Linked DNA regions of Schizosaccharomyces pombe. The gene in region 1 interacts genetically with each later gene. Each region holds a gene or a part of one and is shown in the gene's direction. Other genes may lie near its edges. The genes, in order: och1, gms1 and alg3.

Region 1 (8,304 bases):
CAATCGGTCGAATATCTTCCCTCTTTTCTAAAAATCTAAATGAAGTATCAGCAGGATTTAACAAAGATTGGAATACGGCATTTTCCAAACTTATAATATCGAATCCCTTAAAACTTCCCACACAAAGCTTTGTCTTGAGAAAGTGAACGGACAAAGCTTCCATCGGCATTTGTACCTCCTAAAAAAATGTTAGTATAGAGAAAGAACGACGAGGTAACTCACAGTAAATATTTTCAAAGTTGCTTGATTGCCAAAAGGCTTTTTTAGAGACTGGGTCTTTTTGTTCTTCAAGGCACGATCAGCCTCATAAATCCTCAATGTAGTATTTAAAACGGTGGACTTTACCGCACAGACTAAAATTCTTTGCATACAAAAACCTGTTTTGACGAAACTAACATGACCTGTTACACGTCGCAAAGACTTTGAATTAATTTGTTCTACTGAATCAAGAGCGTCCAGAGGTAACTCGTACAAAATCTTCTCGGCTAAAAGCAATAGAACGTTATGTTCCTCAATTACATCTAGTTGAGAGATATTTGGTAATTGCAGCTTGAAAATGGGTTCAAGACAACTGCCATTATTACTTTTTCGAGAAGAGATATATAGTCCCTTGTAAGTTCCAAATAGTAATTTACGGCCCGCATCTAAAGAGCTGTTAACAAACATTTACTTCTTTAACATATTGTTTATTATACTTACCATAGGCAACGGCACATAATAACTTGTTGCCGGTAAACCAGGACTGACAACATATGCCTCGACTTTCAAATACCAAATGACGCTTTCGAATGATATCTTGCTGTTTCTCAATGTGTTGTTTCCATTGGTCTCTAGCAATCAGTGTATTGAGATAAAGACTTATAGAAAAACCACGGGCTCCAATAAATACTAACTGCAAACCGTATGCTTTAACAGGAGGTGGATTACTTTTTGTAATTGAAATTGGATTAGTTAACAAAGCAGAAGATGGTCGACGCGGAAGGCTACCTCTCGATGGCGAGTCTTCGATGTAAGAAATCGACAACAATTCTAAAGGTAATGGCCTGAGATGCAGTTTATGAACTCTTCTTTTCATTTGAATCTTTATCTTACACAACAAGAGAAAATTGTCCAGTAAAAACATGTGAATGTCGTTTTCAGTGTCCCCATTCGAATAACTACTGGCTTTTAGCTTGACGACGCCTTTGAAAATCAATAAGCGAGATGGATCAAACAATGTTAATTTTGCTCGATCCGCAGGGCTGCAGGAAAGCTGTTCGTTTAACTGTAACAACGAGAGTCTATTTTCAGTCTTCCCTGTTTCATAGTTAAGCTTAGTAAGAAATTCACGAATCATTTCGATTACACGAGGAATGTTTTCCGTATCAGGATTATCTTTATCAGTGTACTTAAGAACTCCACTTAATAGTAGCGGATACCTCGCAAGGCGAGTCGTAGGCTTGGTCAAATAACCATTAAGTTCTAGTTTTCTAGACTCTCGTAATCTTTCCACTTCATGAACATAATTCGCAAAATTCCTATTCGTACTTTTTTCACGCTCAAATTCAAACTTGGCAATAGCCTGATTGGCACCATATTTTATAAAAGGCTCAAATTTAGGAACATAATCTAAGAAAAGATCACCAATTGTGTTAACTACAGGTTGCAGAGTTTGAGTACGGTTTAGAGCATTTGACAAACGAGAATTGACAGCATGGATTTGCATGATATTATGAAAAACGCAACGTATAAATTGTTGTCGGTTGTTTTCTGGTATTACATTTGAGGTTGAAAGAGGCTTAATCCAAAAGTCACGTATATACTCTAGGTCTCTGACGAAGTCCCGTTCTGTGTAAATAACCTCAAAAATGATTTCCTGTCTTTTCCATTCACGGACATCGATCTGGTCTACAACTTGCTTAGGAACATTTTCCGACCATAAACGATGATCTTCCTCTTGTTTATCTGTAATCGAAGTTGATCCCCCACTTAATACAGGTTGGACCTTCAAATGGAGACGGGCCTGCTGCTCTAGTCGACGTGGGCAAGATATAGAATAGCAAAGGCGATTACGAGAACATGTAGAGGAGTAGCATTCCGTTAAAAGAGTAAACACTCCATGAGGATTGTATTCGGTTTCAGGAGCTTCAGGCTCCTTAGTAATTGCGCTTAGGGATGAGGTGATGAAAGCTAAAGAATTTACCTGTACAGACGAGGAGATGGTAGGTGTCGTAGAAGAATCAGATAAAACAGAGTCAAATGAATCAGACGTGTTCGCTCTTCTTTTTGTGTAGAGAAAGTTATTTTCGATCGACGATCCATTGGAATCCATCGAGGAGAGACCAGGAGGAGGAGAAATGATACGTCGGTACTGGTAAACTTCCTTGAGCGAGTCGCGAAGTCTATGAGAGTAAGTAACGTCATGAAACATCTTTTGCGAATCCAGGGCTCTTCCTAAAAGTAACGCCAAATTCCTGTCAGTCGTCCGAACTATATGCATCAATACATCGACAGCTTCCGATCCAAGAAAGGCATCTTTATAAAGAAGACCATCCTTCACACGGTCACCGATGTTAAGACGCTTTCGGAACTCAACGGCGACTTGAGAAAGAAAAGCCGGATGTATATAAGGGCGACGAGATGAGGTAGAATTGGAATGCGAAGGGGCGATGTTCGAAATCGCAGATGCAGACTTGGAGCCTGAGTGATGCTTAAGTAAGACGGCAGTTGATCCTTCAGGAAAAGATGGCATGGGTGCATTAACATGGACGCTATTTTTTCGAATGTTAGGATAAGAACTGCCATTAGATACATCAGAGACGGAAAACGACTGGCGAGTATGGGGTCTACCGAGCGATTGTATTTCTTTCCTACTACGTGCATGAGAAATGCCAAAATCATCTGTGGAGGAAGAACGGCGATAAAAATTATTTTTTTTATTAACTTCTAAGCCATCTCCAGGACCCGAATCTTTTCTGGATAGCGAAGAGGGAGAAAAGCTAAGGCTCGATGCAGGACGAAAATGATTGCCATCATTTTCATTAAGGGATGTGGTAGATGATAAAGCGGTAGGAGAATGTGTGATAGAGCCAGAACTCCTTCTTTGGAACAGTTTTTGGCTACTGCTAAATGATGAAAAAATACGAAATCCTTTAGCTGCTTTACCAAACGATTCATGAGACTCAGAGTTTATATTTCCATTCTGAGCTCCATTGCGAAGCATTTTCTTGTTTGTTGATTCTAATTTTACTACCCTCTCGAGGTATCGCAAGTTTTAGAAAAACGGCGCTATGCAAAGGGGCTTTTCTGATACCAATCGTCCGTACCGACACAACAACAGAAAGAGAAGAAAGATATTTTTCAAATTCAAGTAGTACCTTTTTTTTTAACGCTCCAATTACTTTCAACAATAAAAGGTTCTACAAGACAAGTCGTCTTATTTGAACATGGAAACTTCACCAAATTCCTCTTATTATACACGAGAAGCCGGAGTACGTATATTAATGCCAATTCTCCGGCTTTCCAATTATTCAAACAGCTTGGATACTCAAAAGAACGGATTTGAAGTGGATCGCTGCTTACACTTCTATATTATGGGTGGTGCTTTGGGTAACCTTTTTCTGTTATTGTGTACATACACCTAACACACACCGTTAACTACAGCCGACAATACTTGGACTGATATTACGCACGGTACCGCAATCAAGTGTGGCTGTTGCTATTATAGAGTAATATCACATTAAAGCCCTTCGATTTTCGGGTCGCTTGTGCGAAGTTAAAGTAAGAGCATCTGCGCAAACTCAGCCAGAGCGCCCACCTGTGTTTTGCTGCGATTCTATGAAAAACCGCAAAATCTGTATCCTAGCTGCATTAAGTACACATTAATGAGTCTTTGTTAACGAACTAAGTAATTAATTGATACATTGAGCATTAGCATATAACGAGTTCAGCATGTTGAGACTCCGATTGAGAAGTATTGTAATAGGAGCTGCGATAGCGGGATCCATACTGTTGTTATTCAATCATGGTAGCATAGAAGGAATGGAAGATTTGACAGAGATTTCGATGTTGGAGGATTACACTCCGGAAGCCGCTAATAAAGATTATGTTGGTCAACAGGAGGAGGAGGAACTTTTGTATGATCAACCGTCTTACATTGAAGAAGAAGAAGATCCAGATTTGGAAGCTTACTTGAGCGATTTGGAGAGGGAAGAGCTGGAACACAGCTTGGAAGAACTTGATGAAGAAAATAATTATAAACTTCATCTACGGTACTCCTTTTCACAGCTTCAAGATTTTGACGAAGAAAATGAAGCTGTACACATGATCGTTCCTAAAGATACTTATGAATTTGAGGTGCCTTATCACGCTGACATTCCCAAGTTAATATGGCAAACTTCCAAGGACCCTTTTGATAGAGAGGTTATGAAGTACACTCGGTTTTGGAGAATCAACCATCCCAGTTATTCTCATGCTGTTTTAGACGATGAGCAGTCTAAAGCATTGGTCATCAGTAGCTTTGGCGATTCATCAGTTTCCAAGATTTCACAAGCGTATGCAATGATGCCTCTGCCTGTTCTGAAGGCCGATTTCTTTCGGTATCTAGTGTTATTGGCAAAAGGTGGTATTTATAGCGACATTGATACGGCACCATTGAAGCATATAAACAATTGGATCCCTCGTGAATATCGTAAGCGTAATATTCGACTGATCGTTGGCATTGAAGCAGATCCCGACCGCCCTGATTGGAACGACTACTATGCCAGGCGTGTACAATTCTGTCAGTGGACCATAGCTGCTGCACCAGGCCATCCAATTCTTTGGGAACTTGTTCGTAGAATTACCGATGAAACTTGGAAGCTGCATGATTCAAAGAAGCTTTCGAAAAATGGCGAGTCAGTAATGGAGTGGACTGGTCCAGGTATTTGGACCGATGCCATTATGGATTATTTAAATTGGCAGTATGGCCCTTTCTCGGTTGAGAATATCACCAATTTAGAAGAACCTTATCTTGTTGGAGATGTTTTAATCCTACCCATAACTGCATTTAGTCCTGGTGTCGGTCACATGGGTAGCAAGTCTCCAAATGATCCGATGGCGTATGTTCAACATTTCTTTGCCGGTTCATGGAAAGATGATTGATCGTTTGAAATGTGGGTGGGTGGTCATTTCTTGGTATAATGTGCTTAAAGTGTTCGAACCGGGCAATTCGATAATACTAAATACACGCATTTGATCTGGTTTGGAAACTGTTACGGGTTGTGTTCGAGCAATTTTTGTAAATTATAGCTTGCGCAAACAAAAAAGTTTCTTTCGTGGTTGATTTAATCTTTCCCTCATAATTCTACATCTCTTTACGATTAATTTTGCATGTATTTTGTACGTTAGCCAATCAAGTTGGCAATATTGGTGACATTATTGAATTATATGAAGCCAATGCTTATGTCCTGATGATCAACTTTCTTTTTTTTTTTTTTTTCAGCGCTTTCATCAACGCGTTTTATAGCTCAGCACTATAATATTTTCCCTTGTAAACTGTTTTGAATTCTAAAGCTGTTTGTTTCTTTCAATAATTTTATAAAACTTTTGCGCTGATCACAATCAGTCTTTTTCAATTTTTTTCTCTTTTGTGATGGTATATTGACCCCAAAGCGTTTCTGTATACTTAGGTGAATTATCAAAGTAGTACAGAGATTATGCCTAAGATTTGAAGATGAATGATAAACCTGTTTCGGCTTTGTAATTACTTTATGTCTTTAGACTTGCATGAATGCTTCTTGGGATTAAAGGACCTCATATTTCTTCATTAAATTTTTGAGGTTTGTCTCTCTTTCTTTGCAACTACATTTTTTTTCAGAAGGTGACTTTATTTTGCTAGTAGTATTAGCGCTGTATTCTATAATATTTGTTTACTTTGGACCGACAAAGTTCATCACTTTACAGCTTCAACTATACATTATTTTTATTATAAATAAATAGACTGAAAAGTGTTTCAATAATTGAATAAACTTACTATTATCTTTTAAAGCTATGCTAACGCCCTTGCTTTGAATACCTTAGAACATTAAACACCCATATAAGAAGTTATTGTAGTGTTTATTTACCTCCATTTCCCACTGTCACAAACACGATTGTTGAGTGCATTTACAACCTGAAGGTTTAATGCTTTTCCTAATTGATGTTAAAAGTATTTCTTTTTTCCGTTATTTCTTTTCTATAAGTGCAGGATTTACATCTTCGAATTAGAAGCATCGTTGATAAATCTTACAATTGGTAGATTGCTTGCTCAAAATTATATTTTAGAAAAGCCTAACTTATTTGATTAAATACTTAATGACTAAAGAAACTCACGAAAATCATTTGCGTACGCATAACGGGATATTTCCTGTTTCTTTGCTCTCAACTCAAGCGCGTCAACTTTTGAATTTCAAGCTAAAGAGTCCTTCCTATTATCTTTTAAACAGTTTTAAACTCTTAGTTAAATCGGAAGGGAATAATCAATCAACCACTGCAGATGTAACTTTAACAAAATCACCAAATGCTTATCATGCTTCCAGCGCTAGAGAAGAGAAAGATTTACAAGTTTCTCGGCGGGATACTTGCTTTTATTGCAGTAGAAAAATTATCAAATGCATATGCAACGAAGAACACGTTGGGATTGAATCAGTTCAGCTTAAACTTATACTTCTATTGTGCCAAAATCTACCAAATGTTACTACTAATGCAAAAAAATATTTCAGTTCACTGGCTGATGGCCATAATTTCACTTTGACGCTTTATAAATTTTCTTTAGATAACCAAACATTTTCTCAATTACTTTCTCGATTTAAATCTTTTGCTACTTTGACTGAACTACTTCAAGTGCACAATGTTATGCTTCAAGTAAACTTTTCCTTTCAAGCAAGGCAACTAAACACAGAAATTCAACTACGACGATGCCATTCGTTAGAAAAAACATGGAAATTCTTATTTGGCGATTATGAATTACCTGATGTTCTAAAAGATATGGAGTCATCGAATAGTGATTGGAGTGACACATCTCTGAAACGAATTGCCTATTTATGTTCTCTTGTTGAGGAGCTCAAACTTCATTCTTCTATTATGAACGACAAGTATGTGTGCCTTGTGTCCAAGCATAACAACGCATTGGAAGACAAGTTTAACAGTGAAGCCGCGCGTCAGTTGTTGCAGAAATCTCTAAGTATAGTAGCGTCAAATTTGAAACAAGCCGAAAATAAAACTATCAGTTATGAAGAAAAGCTTTCTATAGCTCAAAATTCTATTAATGAAATTCAAACCCAAAACAGGGATTTAAAACTTGAAACCGAGAAGTTACAGGATCAAATCAAAGCGTTGCTAGAAAGAAATCAGTCATTGCAAGAAGCTCTAGAAACTGTTAAAAATGATGAAAAAAATCTGAGAGAAATGAACGCCAATTATGAAACCGAGATGAAAGAAGCGCGTCAAAAGTTAAACAACAAGGAGGCATTAATTAGTCATTATGATGATGATTTTCGAGCAAAAGAATTAAAAATTTCAAGACTTTCCGAAAGTCTTAGAGAAAAAGCAGGCTTATTGGAGTTTCAGTCTTCTGTTAGTGAACAAAGGGATCTACTTTATCAAGAACAAATACAGTCGTCAATAAAGGATATGGAGAATGTATTTCGAAAAAATGAATATCTTATGGAAGAACTTAATGAATTAAAGAACAATCTTGAAGTGGAATCAAGTAAGGTTTTGAGACTTGATGAAGAAATGAAATGCCTAAAGGATGAGCAACTCTCTCAATTTGACACGGTCTTTAGTTTGACTGATGAACGGGATGGATTACAGAAGGATTTAAAAAACACTAAGGGAAATCTTGACGATGAAATCGGGCGCTCTGCATTTTTAAAAAGCCAAATCAGGGATCAAGAGCTAACTATTGAGAAGCTCCATGACAGTTTGGAGACTTTAAGTCAAACTAACAATAGTTTACAGTGTGAGATTTCTGAAAAGAATGCAGAGTTAAATTCAGTAAACTCCAAACTTTCTGAAGGTAGAGCACACCTGGAAACCGCGAATAAGGAGAATGAGATATTGAAGCAGCAATTGGAGTTAAGTGAATCCAAATTAGCCAGTTTGTTAAACTCTTATCAATCATTTATTAATAAAAAAGAGCACCTCTATTCTTTTTTACAGCTTGTCGAGCCATCGTTCGCTAAAAGTGATTCATCTAATGCTACCGAATCCCAAATTTCCGAAAGTGTACGAAAAGGAATTTCAATATTTAATCTTTTGTTCATTGTTTACAAAAACGTATGCTCTCAAGCTGGAATTAATCCA
Region 2 (8,112 bases), on another chromosome or scaffold:
ATACGGTGTTTTTGAAAAGTATTTATCTGAGCAGGGAATCACTAAGGAAAAGCAGAAGATTGGTGTTTTATGTAGTAAACGTTGGAACGAAGAGTCATTCCCTTCTCACTGTCCGTTTGTATTTTTGCATATGGGAAGGGATGGACATGAAATTACAAAGAATTTATTCGCTCAATTGCGAGATTTGGATCTGCAGGGAGTTGATTTTGTTTTGGTTGAAGGTGTCTCCGAGGAAAATGAAGGGCTAGCTATCATGAATCGTTTGGGCAAAGCTGCTTCTGTGGTTTTTGAGGGGCCTTCTCATTAGTTAAAATATTTATAGCTAAGGGGTCTTAGCTTTACTTGTATAGAGGTGTAATTACTTATCGAGCTATCTGTTTATTATTTTGATAAATTGTCTATAAAAGAATTATTTATATCATATTCATTAACTTATGGCTGACTATAATTAATTTGAGAGTAAAATATAAAAAAAAGCTGCAAATCGTAGTATAAATAAGATGCTTTATGTTAAGTTCGTATAACCCTTAAAATTCGCATGTTTCAACCTATTTCTTATTCCGGGAGTCATGATGTACAATAGTTGTTAATCTAATAACGCCAATACTTTAAATCTTTTCTTTATCGGTTATTCTTTCGATACTTCCTCATCACAATGAACTTGAAATTTCCCAAGAGGGTCCAATTTTCTTGGAGATTTCAAAGGCAACTTTTCGCCTACCCAAGAAGTAGCCGATATGTTGTTTTCTTTACGCCTTTGATCAACTGTACCAAGAGTTTGCCAGGTCCCAGGTTGGCCATCCTTTCCAGAACCATCCGCATCTGAATAAACAGAAAATTTAAATTTAGGTTTAGAAATTTTAGTCCTAGACTGGGATATTTCCTGGATATTTGTTGACTCAAATGTCGTTTGTAAAGGATTAACCGAATTTGTATTTGAAGAGAATGATTGTGGGGCAAATTCCAACCAACGGTGAGTAAATTGCTGATACTTTTGCTGAAATCTCAAAAATGGCTTAGCCTTCATTCTTTTTCCTTTCTGATAAACTTCGTCAGCTTTTTGAAACAATCCCCTAGACTCGAAATAATTTGCGTATTCCTCATAAAAAATCGAGGACTCCTGTCCAATATGATGATGTGCCAAGAAAGAAAATAATTCAACCGGTTCGTCTATATAGTTTACATATTGCATCCATATTCGTAAATACCGAACATCATCTTTATAAAGCGGATTTCGTACGAATTCTCGAGTACACCTTTCTAACAATGTTACCAGTCCACTAGTTTTTGTTTCACCTTGAGGGAAATTATCCAAGGTCCATTTAATATAATCGATCCAAACTTGTAGTGGATCATCAAGAGACTCGCTCGTCTCTATTTTTCGTTCATGGCCCATCCTTTCTTTTTGCAGACCAGCAACTTCTTTTTCGGTGTGGTTTCGCGACGAAGATTTTGCAAGTGCAGAAGCTGAATGACCAGCTTTTCTAGGCTCTATGTTTTCCTTGGACTGCTCAATGACATCCATATGCACCCAGTTCTTGCCAGCATCTAATGGTTCCATTTGTAGTCAATGTCTTCCAAAAAATTAGTAAACCTTTTCTAGAGAACCCTATACCTTCCACTAAATGAAAATAAATAAAACAAAGAAGGAGATGTGAGTGTAGTAGTATTGGAAAGTTTATTTAGACAAGTACAATTCTATTGAAAGAACGAAAATAGCCAGTATATAGTTTAATAGAAGGTGTACTGAAAGCTTTTGTATAAAATTAAAAGTGTCAACACTCAAAGAGCAAGAGTAGGAATGTATGAAAGATTGTGCGTAAATTAGAAGGTAAGTGCCAACTTGACGCTGGGGGAGGGTATCATACTTACGCCTGGAAGAGTCCAATGAAAGAGATAAGAAGTTTTTTCTGTTTCTTCGAATATACAGAAACAGAAGAAGAATTAAAATTAACCACTTCACATACTAATGGCTTGTATTATTAAATCATGTAAAACACAACCTACAAAACAACTAATAAAAATAAACAAAATGAAGATTTATAAACAACGATTTACAAGAGTTTATTCAAAAATTAATTTTCTATTTTCATAGCTGGTAAGACACATGAAACTGAGACTGAAGAATGAGCGACTTAAAAAGCTACTGTAAACAAGCAGATATTGGCTTGACCTGCAATAGAAATTTAGAGTTGTGTAGTCATTGCGAAAATGGGAGATTTCTGCATAATTTAACACTTGCATACTAAAAAATAAGTCTGCAAAATATCCTTGTAACAGAAACCAAAAAAAAAAAAAATCTAGTATAAAAAAATAAGAAATCAATAAGTTCGGTATGATAGTTTCGTAAAGTAAAACACAAAGAAATCAAGAGAGTATATCAAGCACATAAGAGTAGACATAATAAGGAACTAGCGAGGGAACGACAAAATTTATTGAGGGTAGTAGAAAAAGGCGAGAACAACAATCGCATACAAAGCAAGTAATTGAACACCTTCAAGCCAATGAGTAGCACCATCTTGTATCAAGTAATTAACCAAGAAAACAGACACAAATAGAATAACTGTTTCCAATGATTCAAAGTAAAGTGTTAAAGGTTGGGAGATGATCCATCCGACGATTACCAAGAAGGGAGCTAAAAACAAAGCAATCTGAATACTGGAACCAATAGCAACACCCAAAGCCAAATCCATTTGTCCTCGGTAAGATACCACGATTGCAGTAACATGTTCGGCAGCATTTCCTACAACAGGAAGGATGACCAAACCAACGAAAGTTTTTGAAATGTTAACTTCCTCAACCAATTGGTCTATCGAACCTACTAAATAGTCTGCGCAAAGAGAAACAAAAACCGTGACGATAGCAAGCATGGCAATGGATGAACGAAGGCCTAAAATTCGAGGTTCAGTTTCTTCTTCCACTTCACTGGGATCATGACAGACATGCTTATGAGTCTTTAATTGGAAAACTAAAAGTAAAACATAGACGATGAGTACAATAACAGCAGTTCCACGAGAGACATGGAGAAGCGCATTTTCGCTATTAGCGTTGTCGGGAAGGCTGTAATGGAAAGTCGCAGGAATCAATATGGTAGCAGTAGATAAAGCAAGCATTGCAATCATAGTTTGTGCAACAGTGATATTAAATGTGGTAATTTCACGACGAATACCAGTAGTTACGAGACACATTCCAAAAACAAGAAGCAAGTTGGATAATATTGATCCGAGAAGGGACGATTGAACGATGCGGAGCTCTCCTCTTTTCAAAGCAAGAACGCCTACAATGAGCTCGATGGCATTTCCAAAACTGTACACAACGTGTTAATAAAATAACAAAAGAAGACGATAAAGTAGGAATCTTACCTAGCATTCAACAATGCTCCCAATGTTGGTCCGCTAATTATAGAGAGTTGTTCAGTAGCAAAGCTAAGCAAGGATGCAAGGGGGATAATAGCAAGCATGTTAAGTATGAAAACAGATTTAGCGTTCCATTCAAACCATCCTGCAATTAAGCCGATCGGAACAAATACCAACATCAAGTTAAAGTAGCTAGACATCAAAACAGATTTGGTCATGCCGACCACGTTTAAAAGCGACAACTGACGAGCCATAGAGTGGTCATACTCTGATCCCAAGAGAGGGGCTCGTTCATGTCTATCCTGGGCGGGAAAATTAAAAGAATTCATAGCTTCAAGTCTGTTCTTAGCAATCTTTAATCTCTCAATCATGTTAGTCCAATTCAACTAATGTCAAGTTCGGCGGCTACTTATAGGACCCGTTTATACGATATTTTGCAAACCGAATACCTCTATGTATAAGCCAAAGATTTGAGGATTCATAAAACTTTAACTTACCAACTATAACAGTCAAATGATCTAACCTTCGGCTATCAAGGGGAATTCCGTTATAACAATCTGATATCCCTGTAAATCCTGAAAGCAAATAAAGACTCCAGAAGCAATCAAAATCGTAGAATTTTTACCCTATATTTCTAAAAAATTAATGCACTTTAAAGAAAATACAGAAATATGAGAAAACAAGAATCGTTTAACGCTTGCAGTCGGATATCAGCATGTATGTACTCAACGCGTTCGAATGCACAAACCCGCTTTGTCACATGTTCGTGGCAAATGCAAAACTTAGCTTAACGTGGCTATCTTCCAAATTTGTTGGTGTTCATAATGACCCTTTATCGATTTTACCTCGTGCTCCGTAAATCAGTTGGATACTATAAAGGCTTGGGCAGTTAGTTCTTGTCGTACCAGCAGCCAACACGAACGTGTTTTACTATTAACCGGATTGAGCGTATTAAGTATTGGAGGTTTTTAATTTTTCTTGCAAATTCTTAATTCGTTAACTACCTTTTGCTTATATTAATATTTCATTAAGTCCGAGCACTTCACATCTTTACAAGTGTCTAGTCTAATACCAGTAATATTGAGAAAATGGCTGTCAAGGGCGACGATGTCAAATGGAAAGGTATTCCAATGAAATACATTGCATTGGTACTTTTAACAGTGCAAAATAGTGCATTGATTTTGGTAAGTAGTCGCGGTTTTTTTAGGAAGTCTTGTGAATTTCTCTGGTTTGTGGAGTATATGGTCAATCTTCTTATAGAAACACGCATGTCTCCCACTTTTTTTTAGAAAAGCTTCGCTGTTTTTATGTAGAAATATATTTCTGTTTTTCCTATTGTACATGCTAATGGTTAAATAGACACTTAACTATTCTCGAATCATGCCTGGATATGATGATAAACGTTACTTTACATCAACTGCCGTCCTTTTAAACGAACTTATTAAACTAGTTGTTTGCTTTTCGGTTGGCTATCATCAGTTCCGTAAAAACGTAGGCAAGGAAGCAAAACTTCGCGCATTTCTTCCTCAAATATTTGGAGGGGACAGCTGGAAACTTGCAATTCCAGCATTCCTTTACACCTGCCAGAACAATCTTCAATATGTTGCTGCTGGCAACCTTACTGCCGCATCTTTCCAAGTTACTTATCAGTTGAAGATTCTTACTACTGCCATCTTTTCTATCTTACTTCTCCATCGAAGACTCGGTCCCATGAAATGGTTTTCTCTTTTCTTATTGACTGGTGGCATTGCCATCGTTCAGTTGCAAAATCTTAACTCAGACGACCAAATGTCGGCAGGACCTATGAATCCCGTTACTGGCTTTAGCGCTGTACTCGTCGCGTGCTTAATTAGTGGTCTAGCTGGTGTGTATTTTGAAAAGGTCTTGAAGGATACCAACCCTTCCTTGTGGGTTCGCAATGTGCAACTTTCCTTCTTTTCACTCTTCCCCTGTCTTTTCACCATTTTGATGAAGGATTATCACAATATTGCTGAAAACGGTTTTTTCTTCGGTTATAATTCAATTGTTTGGCTCGCAATCCTTTTACAAGCTGGAGGAGGTATTATCGTAGCTTTATGTGTCGCTTTTGCTGATAACATTATGAAAAATTTCTCAACAAGTATCAGCATCATTATTTCTTCTCTCGCAAGTGTTTATTTGATGGATTTCAAAATTTCCTTAACATTTTTAATTGGAGTTATGCTCGTTATTGCTGCTACTTTTCTCTACACTAAGCCTGAAAGCAAGCCATCACCATCAAGAGGCACTTACATTCCAATGACAACCCAAGATGCTGCTGCTAAGGACGTTGATCATAAGCATTAATTTAAGATGTTCTGTAATTCTCAAAGAATGTATTCTTTTTAATTTTCTTTTACATTTCGTCTTCAATGAGATCTCATCTTCGTTCATTTGTTTCCAAACGTGATAGAACAGGCTTGATGTTTTGTTAAGACAACTGCTCCCACTTTTTTTCGTCAATCGTTTTCTACATAGATCCTTATAAATATTCTATCTTTCCTTTGGGCACTTATTAGCAAAGCAGTGAGATGGTGTAGAGCATATTCCCAAATGTTCTTCAATTGATACTGTGAACTATTTAATTCATGTGAATCTACCAAAGCTTTTCAAACCCTACTGTCATTCTTCTAGTATTTAGCATCCTAACAATTTAATTCTTTTAATTTACTACTATTTTCGTTTAATTGCGAGAGAATTACCCAATTTCTTGTATCTGTTGGTTTCTATATTTTTCATCCCCATTCAAAATCGGCGGTAATGTTGGGTAGAAGCGGTCAATAAAACTTACAAATCTCAAGCTCACCGGCATTTTAAGGAATACTAGGCCCCTTTATTTATTTAATCAATTAGAAATAGATATTAGATATTAGGGAAAGAAATGAATTAATTAATTATTTTGTCTGGTGAGTAACGAACCCAATTCCTTATAATAAAGGCTCAAGAAGCCGCAACTCATGGTTTACAAATGGCAAATACAATAAGTATGGTAACCGCACAACTGTTTTTTACCGTTGCCACTCATCATGCTTATTTGGTTTAGATAATTGAAGAAATTTACCGTATATTGAAAAAAAGTAAACATTGCAATAAAAAACTATTAAAAGATTCTTTCAAGCTTGCTTAGTAAATACCGAACCTTTGTAAGTCACTTAATTTTAAATTGCGAATTATTGCGGCAAATCGTTCTTTCAGTTTAAAAAACCCTAAGGAATGTGACTGCCTTTGATCATGTGCTATATAAATACTGAATTTTCTTACTAGGGAACTACGAACAACGCTTATTATAACAGTCAAAATAAAAGTGCTGCGGATTCAAAACTTGATGCAGTAATATAAAAGATAATTTGAACTGAAGACTAAATTTATAAAAAGAGACGATTGGGTGAGATGGTTTTCTTTTTTTATGATAATCATCTCAATAATTGTCACTACATGAAATTAGATTTAAGAATGTTTTTTGTTTTGGAATAGTTGTTAATATTGAATTACATTATCGATTGACATTGATGCATAGTCAGTGATTGCCATCCGGTGTTCCTGTCTTAATTGGGAGCATAGGAAATGGATATTGTAGTTGTAAAATTAAATTGATTGGTACTTAATAGAAATGTGAAGTATTTCAGCAGGTTTGCTTTTGTTAATTCACTCAATAGTAAGTTCGGTGTATGATTATTAAACGATTTCGTGTTTACGATTTTGCATTAAAAAAATTGTAAGCTAAAATGAGTATTGCATTGGTTGCAAATAACTTTCTCATACAGCTGATATCATAATACACTTTCAAAAGTATACTCTACTTGTTATTAGGGATTTCACGCAATGCTAAAAATGTTTACTTGTTTAATATCACTGTGAAAATGTAGTAAATAGGTCAATACATATACACATTAAATATCAAATCGATAGACCCGAATTAAAGTTGGGAAGAAGATTATAACTCCAAAGATTTAAGGAAGTAGAATCTGCCATATTCTAACAAGATAAAAATGTTAATTCCTTAAACGGGTGTATTGATTCTATAAGAAAAGCGATAAAAGGAATCTATAGATAATCGTTCTCGTAAAATTGTTTATAATTGACGGTTACGGAAGATGGAATAGCTAATCGAGAGACAAAGACTTGGCTAAAATTTTGGAGGAAAAATAAGAAAAGGAGAGGAAGAGGTCAGTAGGGTAATAAAAAGGCATGAAGAGAGAATAAAAATGGGAAATCATAACATAGTATAATAGGAATCATATGACATTTACTCTTGCATAGCAATATCCTCTTCTTCGCCATCAGCAATCCGACGAGCATATGCTTCAGCCTCTTGCAAAAGCTCATCAGGAACGGGTGTATGAATACCGTTTGTTTCAACACCAACCCAAGTCATCTCAATTTCATGCTCTTTGTTGTTTTCTTCGTCATGAGTTGCGTATAATCTAAAAAAGAGTGAATTATTAGCAAATAGAATGAAAAAAAATTGTACTCAACAAAGCAAAACGTACATTCTAGCAGCTTCTTTAACCGCATCTTTCATTTTTAATGAGGAAAAATTCAGTTTTTCTAATTCGTTTCGAGCTACTTGCCGACCTTTACCAGCTGCAGCACCGTTGTAACCCCAATAAACACCATTAGGTTCAACCATATACAAATGTGGACCTTCTGAGTCATAAGTAGCAACAAAAGACATAACACCGAATGGACGGACGCTAGAATAGCAAGTGAAAAGTTGAACGTAGTTCCCCAAGCGATC
Region 3 (7,852 bases), 2.5 Mb from region 1:
TTTATCCGACAAAGGACACCGCATTGTATAATGCAACTGCTTAATAACTGGTATTCGTTACTCTTGACTGAGGTAGCTGCATATTTTACGAGCACAACTCTGTTTGTTAGTATTTTAAAAAACGCGCCTAGTCTAAGCTGGTTAATGAAATACGGAGGTCATGATAATTTTGGGTTAAAGCCTCCTCTAATTGCTACCAAGCTTGAAGTACCTAAACGGTGGTTTTGGCATTTTTACGCGTTTATTTCCCTCTTGAATCCATTGTTTACATTTTTTATCCTAAATACCAATTTTCCTATTCCTATATTTAAAAATATCAAAGAGGACTTGATGTACAGTAAAAAGCTACAAGTACTCCTACTAATTTATGAAATTCACACGCTGCGTAGATTATATGAGAATCTACGTTTTCGCAAAAGCGGTTCGAAAATGCTTGCTGGTCATTATTTATTGGGATACCTGTTTTACACACATACATTCCTTGCATTGCTTTTGTGCGGTAGAAGAAGTTATGAAAATACAATGTCAAGCATGCAATTTGTTGGTTTGGGGATTTACGCAATAGGCAGCATTTGGCAGAATGCAAGTCATGAACATTTGATTGCTCAAAAAAATCATTCGCAATATCTAGTCCTAAAAAAAGGATGTTTTAAATGGATAACTGGCCCCCATTACCTTGGAGAAATCATTGTTTATACTGGAATAGCACTGATTGCCCAACACTGGTTAATATGGCTAGTCTTGGGATGGGTACTTTGCAATATGGTAGCAATCTCTTCTTCTTATGCTTGTACGGTCAAGAACAAAGAACAAAGTTTGGACTTTCGGTGGACTCTTATACCTTTTCTATACTAAGAAAAGCGTGCCGTCAGGATACCGCGATTCTTATTGATTGTGTAAAATAACATTTATTAAAAAAAAAGATAATTTGTATTAATATTTAGTCGGGGTTTGAGAAGAGACGAACTTTAAAGATGTATTATTATTTTATGTTGCACTTTAGTACAAGCAACAGTAGATGATAAAAGTTATTTGGCCAGCATGTAGAAAATAGGGAAGGAAGGAAAAAGAGATAGGAAAATAAGAAAAAAGTAATACAAGTGTATCCAATATTTAACGGAACAAATAATAAGACATATTTTGTTTCGTAATATAATCATTTTGATATGCAGGTACAAATTCCATTTCACAACAATACCAAAGGTAACTTCCCTTAATTGAAAGAGTGACTAATTTAAAAAACGTAGACGAAGAGTGCAGCTATAAAGGTAAGTTAGACAAACAGACATGAATCTCTCTTTCTTTTATGCTTGAGGACGTGAAAGGTAATGGTAAAGGATGATTAAGAGCATCATGGAGATACCAAAGGTGGTAACGATATTTTGAAGTTGAACGTCTGTCATTTTTAAGATGATCCTTTGTAGGAAATGAGTTCTGATGCTTGTGCTCGGTACAAGTTGGGAATACAAGTATTTAGGTCCAAGCCTGAATTGCCGTGCATTCTCATAAAGTAACGAAGCACGGTTGCTACTTGAAATGTGAATATCAGTACTGCAGTGATGAAAAAGACTGCCGGTATATAAGGTAAAAGAAAGAAGAAAGAAAATTCATTTTACGGTACTTTCGAATTCTTTAATACATATTGCTGCTCAATAGCTTCTGGATGTCTAAAATGTGAATGCTTCGAAAGAGCGTAAAAAAATTTCAAAAAAAAAAATTTCTTCACCATCCCTATAATTGCCGTTGATTAAAAAAAAAAAAATGTAACTTTCTACTTTGTTAAAGCCAAAGTAGCTGTAGAAAAAGTGACTGTGGATGCGTATGTAAAAGGTTACCCTCTCAAGCTGAAAACTGCATTGTACTATTTCGCCATAACGTGAATTTGATATAAAGCGATGGTTCAATACACCGTTTCTAGAGGAAGTAGCATGGAAAAAACATAAATTAAAATATCGTTCATCGTTCTAACGAAAGTTCAGCTACCGCAAAGAATTATTTGACTGGCGATTAACTTTTTTTTGATTTCAGAATTTCAAGTATATGTGACACTGTTATAAACTGCATATTTATACTCCTTTTCCAATTTCTACCGCCATTTATATGTAAAATGGATTTTGTTAACAGTAGGAATATCGCCTCACTATTTTACATTTTTGTATGTCTTTTAATTTGTAATTTCATATCAGTACCTCAGTTGTTATAACAAAATTTTCTTAACATTACTTCGACTCCACTAACTAGATCGTGTACAGCAAAGAAAAGAGCACGCATAATCTTTCAGCTTACCAAAAAAAAAGAAAATCTTTACATTTACATACTTATTATTTTGATGCTTTAATTGCTTATAATCTCATGTTTGTCGAGAATCCACGATTAACAAGCTGACATAACAACAAGATGGCTTCTTTAGCTTTGTTTACTAATTGTCAGGTTTCCGATTTGTGATTCGTTGTAATTCCATGAAGTATTACTCCGAAATGCGTTATAGAAAATTAGGAAACGAATTGGTAGGTTGATGGCAGAGAATGGCACCATATCCTCGTTATTGTAGCTCATTACCTCATCGTCGGTGATTGCACAATGTACGCTCTCGATCTTTCTACTAGAATAAGCGAACTTATAAATTACACATTTTCTCAATAATATATAAACGGGCACGTCGCACCATCGTATAAGTATACTAGAGACAAAGTTCATTTGCACTCCTGAAGTCAACGTCTTTTGAATTTTTCAGGTTTACTTCTGTTTACTCGTTAAATCGATTTTTTCTTTATTTGAGTATATATTTTTAACTTAATTTCCCATTTCATTTATATACAACATGGTGAAACAAGTCTCCGACTCTTCTGAATTTAAATCTATTGTTTGCCAAGACAAGCTTGTCGTTGTCGACTTCTTTGCTACTTGGTGTGGACCTTGCAAGGCCATTGCTCCTAAGTTTGAGCAATTTTCCAACACTTACTCTGATGCCACTTTCATCAAGGTTGATGTCGATCAATTAAGTGAAATTGCAGCTGAAGCTGGCGTTCACGCTATGCCCTCTTTCTTCCTTTACAAGAATGGTGAGAAGATTGAAGAAATCGTAGGTGCTAATCCTGCTAAATTAGAGGCTTCTATTAAGGCGAACCTCTAATTTACGCAATCTGATAGTTAGTTGTTATGAACTTGTAATACAAAATATTTTTATTTAACAAAAATAAATGTTTTGCTTTTCTTTGTGTATGCACCGTTGTAATTTATTGGGAAAAGTATTTTTGTCCTAGCATCTTTTCTACTGAAGTTGCAGAACGGCGATTTGCGTACAATTATCGCAATAATAGTAATGTGCCATCGACCAGGCGTAGTAATCTAGTCATGGGCATTTTTCAGACAAGCTAGCTAATTTGCGACCGCCTTGAGCATTTGTAATATTTAATACGACTTTTTGGTTAGGCGTTCGTGACTCTGTTCTACATTATTCTCCTATCCTTCTAAGATAGACATTGGAGAGTGTATACCAATTTGGAATGATACCATTTGGATGAATAAATATCCTTTTTGATTACATGCTCAAATACATGCTACTCTTTATTTATAACATTATACAATTAACCCAACGAATATTTATGTTGATCTGAGTAGCAAACATATTTTTGTATTCTATTAGAATAAAATCTTTAATATTCTCGTTAAGTATTGTTTTATAACAATCAAATTTCACATTTATGGAGTAAAATCACAGTAATGATTACGCTCCGTCGACATGTTCTTAACACTTACATCCTAACATACATTGTTCGTCTAACGAGTTTCATTAAAAACACAATTTTTCTTAAACAAAAAGGAGTTCCTTTCTATGTGAAAGAACTCTACCAATTTTCCATTGTCTATAATAAGCGTTACTCTTAAAAACCTGGGATCTGTCTACATTATTTGCTAAAGTCTCGTATTTTATCAAAAGTTAACCAATGTCTTCAGTTGAGACAAGAAATTCTTTTAATCCTTTTCGGGTATTATTTGATCTTGGTTCCTATGGCTGGTTACATCCTTCAAGGCTCCTTCTGTTGGAAATTCCTTTTGTCTTTGCTATTATTTCCAAAGTTCCCTACACGGAGATAGACTGGATTGCTTACATGGAGCAGGTGAATTCATTTCTATTAGGAGAAAGAGATTATAAATCTCTTGTCGGATGTACAGGCCCTCTGGTCTACCCTGGAGGGCACGTATTTTTGTACACCCTTTTGTACTACCTTACTGATGGAGGGACCAACATTGTAAGGGCGCAATACATTTTTGCCTTTGTATACTGGATTACAACGGCTATTGTAGGGTATTTGTTTAAAATTGTCCGCGCTCCTTTTTATATATATGTTTTGCTTATACTTTCAAAACGTCTACACAGTATATTTATCTTACGTTTATTTAACGATGGATTCAACAGTTTATTCTCTTCCCTTTTTATTTTGTCTTCATGCAAAAAAAAGTGGGTTAGAGCTTCAATTCTACTAAGTGTCGCTTGTTCTGTCAAGATGTCCTCCTTGCTTTATGTCCCAGCTTATTTAGTTCTTTTGCTCCAAATCTTGGGGCCCAAAAAGACCTGGATGCATATTTTTGTTATTATAATTGTACAAATTTTATTTTCTATTCCCTTCCTTGCCTATTTTTGGTCGTATTGGACTCAAGCCTTTGATTTTGGCAGAGCATTCGATTATAAGTGGACAGTAAACTGGAGATTCATTCCACGCAGCATTTTTGAGTCTACATCATTTTCCACATCAATACTTTTTCTTCATGTTGCTTTGCTAGTTGCATTTACCTGCAAACACTGGAATAAACTGAGCAGAGCAACACCATTTGCAATGGTAAACTCCATGCTGACCTTGAAGCCTTTACCAAAACTCCAACTCGCAACTCCTAATTTTATCTTTACTGCATTAGCAACATCCAATTTGATTGGTATATTATGTGCAAGATCCCTGCATTATCAATTTTATGCATGGTTTGCTTGGTATTCACCATATCTATGCTATCAAGCTAGTTTTCCTGCTCCGATAGTAATTGGCTTATGGATGTTACAAGAATACGCATGGAATGTTTTTCCTAGTACTAAACTATCTTCATTAATCGCTGTATGCGTGCCGCTTATTACTATTTTGAAGCTATACACATCCGACTACAGAAAACCCTGATCCCTCTTTACTAATACGCAAAATAAACTTTATAAAAAGCTTAAACACTTCACTTTTAATTACTCATGGTTTTTAAAAAACAAAATTTTTAGTTTTTTCATTTGTGTACCGACTATAAATTTTTGAAAATTAACATCTTATAAAAACGAACATTAGTCTAATCTTTTAATTCGTATCTTTATGCCGTCATAATTCGATGAATATTCTCTTCAATGAAAATCTCAGGGGATTGACAGATTGATAAAAATTCATACATTTAATCATTCGACACTGAAATGAATTAGCACCAGTGTTTTTATCAAATGCTCATTATTACTTTTAAAAAAGCGTTTCTAAAATATAAAACAAACAGTTGCTAAGAACACAAGTGCTTTCCGCACAACTATTGCAAATATTAGAATAAACAAGTTGCTGATTTTATAGCTTGCACCATTGACAGTCACATTTTACTAAGGTTTCATTATATATTTCAGTTCCCTCGTTAAAGTAATTTTGTGATTTGCTGTTTATTTGCATAATGTGAACTTCTTAAGGATACATTCGACCGCTGTAAGCGCCTCTTGTCTGATGTAGCGTAGTATGGATTATGAAAAAAACATATTTAGCGTAACTTGTAATAGTTCTAATAAGCTAATAAGTAAAATCAACTTCTACCAGCTTCAACTGCACTTCAAAATATATTTTTCATAAAAGGTTTAGAATAATTGCTTTTTAAGGGAATGACTATAAACGCAGGCATACATGTGAGAAAGCAACTTTTATCTTACTATAGCTAGTGCAGCGTAATAAATATTTCTTTATATCAGCATATTGGCATTTCGAGGGAATAATGGTGAATATGTAAATGTCTTAAAAATATTAAATATAGAGCCAGTACTAATTGTTAAATAAAATTTAGATAATTTAAAAGCATAAATCCCTTTAGCTAAATAAATGCTTTATCGAATTTGCTCGGTTTGCGTCAGTTCTTCGAATTTCAATATTTATGAATAGAGTATACACTCCATTAAAGAAAAGAATTTTGTGAGCTACTCTGTATAGATTTTGAACCCGTAAAAACAGCAAATGCATAACTGAGCCCTAGATTGTTGGTCTAACGATTATTCTCGTAGCATGGATGCTAGACTTGGAATAACGCGACTAGAATGGTCATTCAAATTAGAAAATAAAAAGGATTGCTATTGCGTTTATCGGCATATTCTTCATTTTTTAAATTTTCGTTAGCATGCATATGCATTAGCCATTTCATGTTCATGTCTTTTCGGAATATTCATTGTTTACTTATTTGCGCCCTTGTATAATGAAAACAACAATAGATCAATCTCTAAAAAATTAAAAGGATCACATAAATATAATTTTTCTTCAATGTCAAAAGCTAGTACACAAAGGAACAACAGAGCTTTGTTGAAAATATAATCAATTTATACATTTATTAGAATTCTGACGAAATATTCATTTATAAGAAAAAATTATCATTTCAAATGTGAAACCTTTATTGTCACATTAGGTCCTTGAAGAAGGGGTCCAGATATGAATGTTGGATACGCGGTAAACCTGACTGCGTTTATTTTACTTCTGTTCAAAATATTTCAGGAAATTGGTTTTTATGTCACAGTATTCAGCATTCCATTGGATGTTTCTTGCTGCTGAAACATCTTTTATTAAATCATCCCCTAGGTGCATACATTCTTCTGGTTGAATCTCCTGTCCAAGAAGTTTAACAGCCTTTTCCATAGCATAATCAAATATTTCCCTGCTTGGTTTTTCAAATCCAACGTCGTACGAAAACGCATATATATCTATTAGATGATCTATGCCGTAATCTTCAAGCACTGTACGAATTCTTTCGTCTGTGTTTGAAATAATACCAATAATGTATTTCCTCTCTTCTTTATTTCTCTTAAGGAAATCAATCAGAAGAGGATGAATCGTGTAACCCGTCTTTTTGGAAAAGTAACTCCATAGCTCTTCAGCCATTTCTGCAGGAACAGGAGTTGGAAAAGAATGTTCGATAACCTAAAATTGTTAGCATGTAAAGGTTTTTTAGAAATCAAGAGATTCAATTCTTTACAAAACACAAATCTCAATGAAATTCAGACACATACTTTGATCCACCAGTCATGAGGATTTAATCCTGACTTTTTTCCATGATTCTTATGCTTTTCACTGAAATCCTTGAATGCTAAATTATTAGATAAATAGAAACCAAAAGCTAACCTTTATTACTATTGTGTTCAATTTCATCAATAGTTGCATGAACTCCATACTTCTGAGCGACTTCGCTGTACACAATTGGAACAGGTTTACTTAAATGAAGGATTGTTCCAAAAGCATCGAACGTAACCAACTTGATCTTTTGGATATTTTTTGAGGGAATCATAATTCCAGGTTGTACTTTGATGGGACACACTACACAAAGCAATTTACATAAGGTACTCCTTACCACCAGTGCGTTGTTCGGTGTGATAAATAATATTTGCAAATCACTTTTATTGCGAGCGATTGCGTTCTACATATTAAATAATATACGAATAGATTAAAAGTTCATTAAAAATTTATCATGTTACAAGACGAGAGACACGCTACAGCAATAGTAGTCGTTAATTTACGTCGGATACCTTACTAGGCGAGACCAAAAAACAAATTTCAGTAAATAATGCCATAACAGATCAAAACCTGAAAAA

Evidence for each region.
Region 2: of och1 (region 1) and gms1, changing one enhances a phenotype caused by changing the other (phenotypic enhancement), as found in Schizosaccharomyces pombe (one study listed by BioGRID).
Region 3: mutations in och1 (region 1) and alg3 impair growth when combined (synthetic growth defect), as found in Schizosaccharomyces pombe (one study listed by BioGRID).

What each region holds. Positions count from the first base shown.
Region 1 is NC_003424.3:5,076,003-5,084,306, reverse strand, and holds och1 (Golgi alpha-1,6-mannosyltransferase Och1), read left to right. Parts: upstream 1-3,785; 5' UTR 3,786-3,930; coding exon 3,931-5,121; 3' UTR 5,122-6,018; downstream 6,019-8,304. Other genes in the region: RhoGEF for Rho1 Rgf2, read right to left, coding at 1-178, 223-644, 700-3,202; protein mcp3, read left to right, coding at 6,313-8,304. UniProt on the Schizosaccharomyces pombe protein: Mannosyltransferase involved in outer chain elongation of asparagine-linked oligosaccharides of the type Man(9)GlcNAc(2). May otherwise add the first alpha-1,6-mannose to the Man(8)GlcNAc(2) core oligosaccharide from the ER.
Region 2 is NC_003421.2:991,137-999,248, reverse strand, and holds gms1 (Golgi UDP-galactose transmembrane transporter Gms1), read left to right. Parts: upstream 1-4,262; 5' UTR 4,263-4,444; coding exon 4,445-4,540; intron 4,541-4,715; coding exon 4,716-5,681; 3' UTR 5,682-6,371; downstream 6,372-8,112. Other genes in the region: SUA5/yciO/yrdC family protein Sua5, read left to right, coding at 1-307; mitotic spindle checkpoint protein Mad3, read right to left, coding at 629-1,561; vcx1 (CaCA proton/calcium exchanger), read right to left, coding at 2,433-3,306, 3,363-3,727; proteasome core particle subunit alpha 7 Pre10, read right to left, coding at 7,621-7,798, 7,865-8,112. UniProt on the Schizosaccharomyces pombe protein: Essential for the transport of UDP-galactose into the lumen of Golgi apparatus.
Region 3 is NC_003424.3:2,622,636-2,630,487, forward strand, and holds alg3 (dolichol-P-Man-dependent alpha(1-3) mannosyltransferase Alg3), read left to right. Parts: upstream 1-3,764; 5' UTR 3,765-3,947; coding exon 3,948-5,168; 3' UTR 5,169-5,647; downstream 5,648-7,852. Other genes in the region: dfg10 (steroid dehydrogenase), read left to right, coding at 31-855; oligosaccharyltransferase subunit Ost4, read right to left, coding at 1,305-1,403; SPOM_SPAC7D4.08 (uncharacterized protein), read right to left, coding at 2,407-2,697; cytosolic thioredoxin Trx1, read left to right, coding at 2,822-3,133; SPOM_SPAC7D4.05 (hydrolase), read right to left, coding at 6,738-7,184, 7,274-7,350, 7,386-7,548.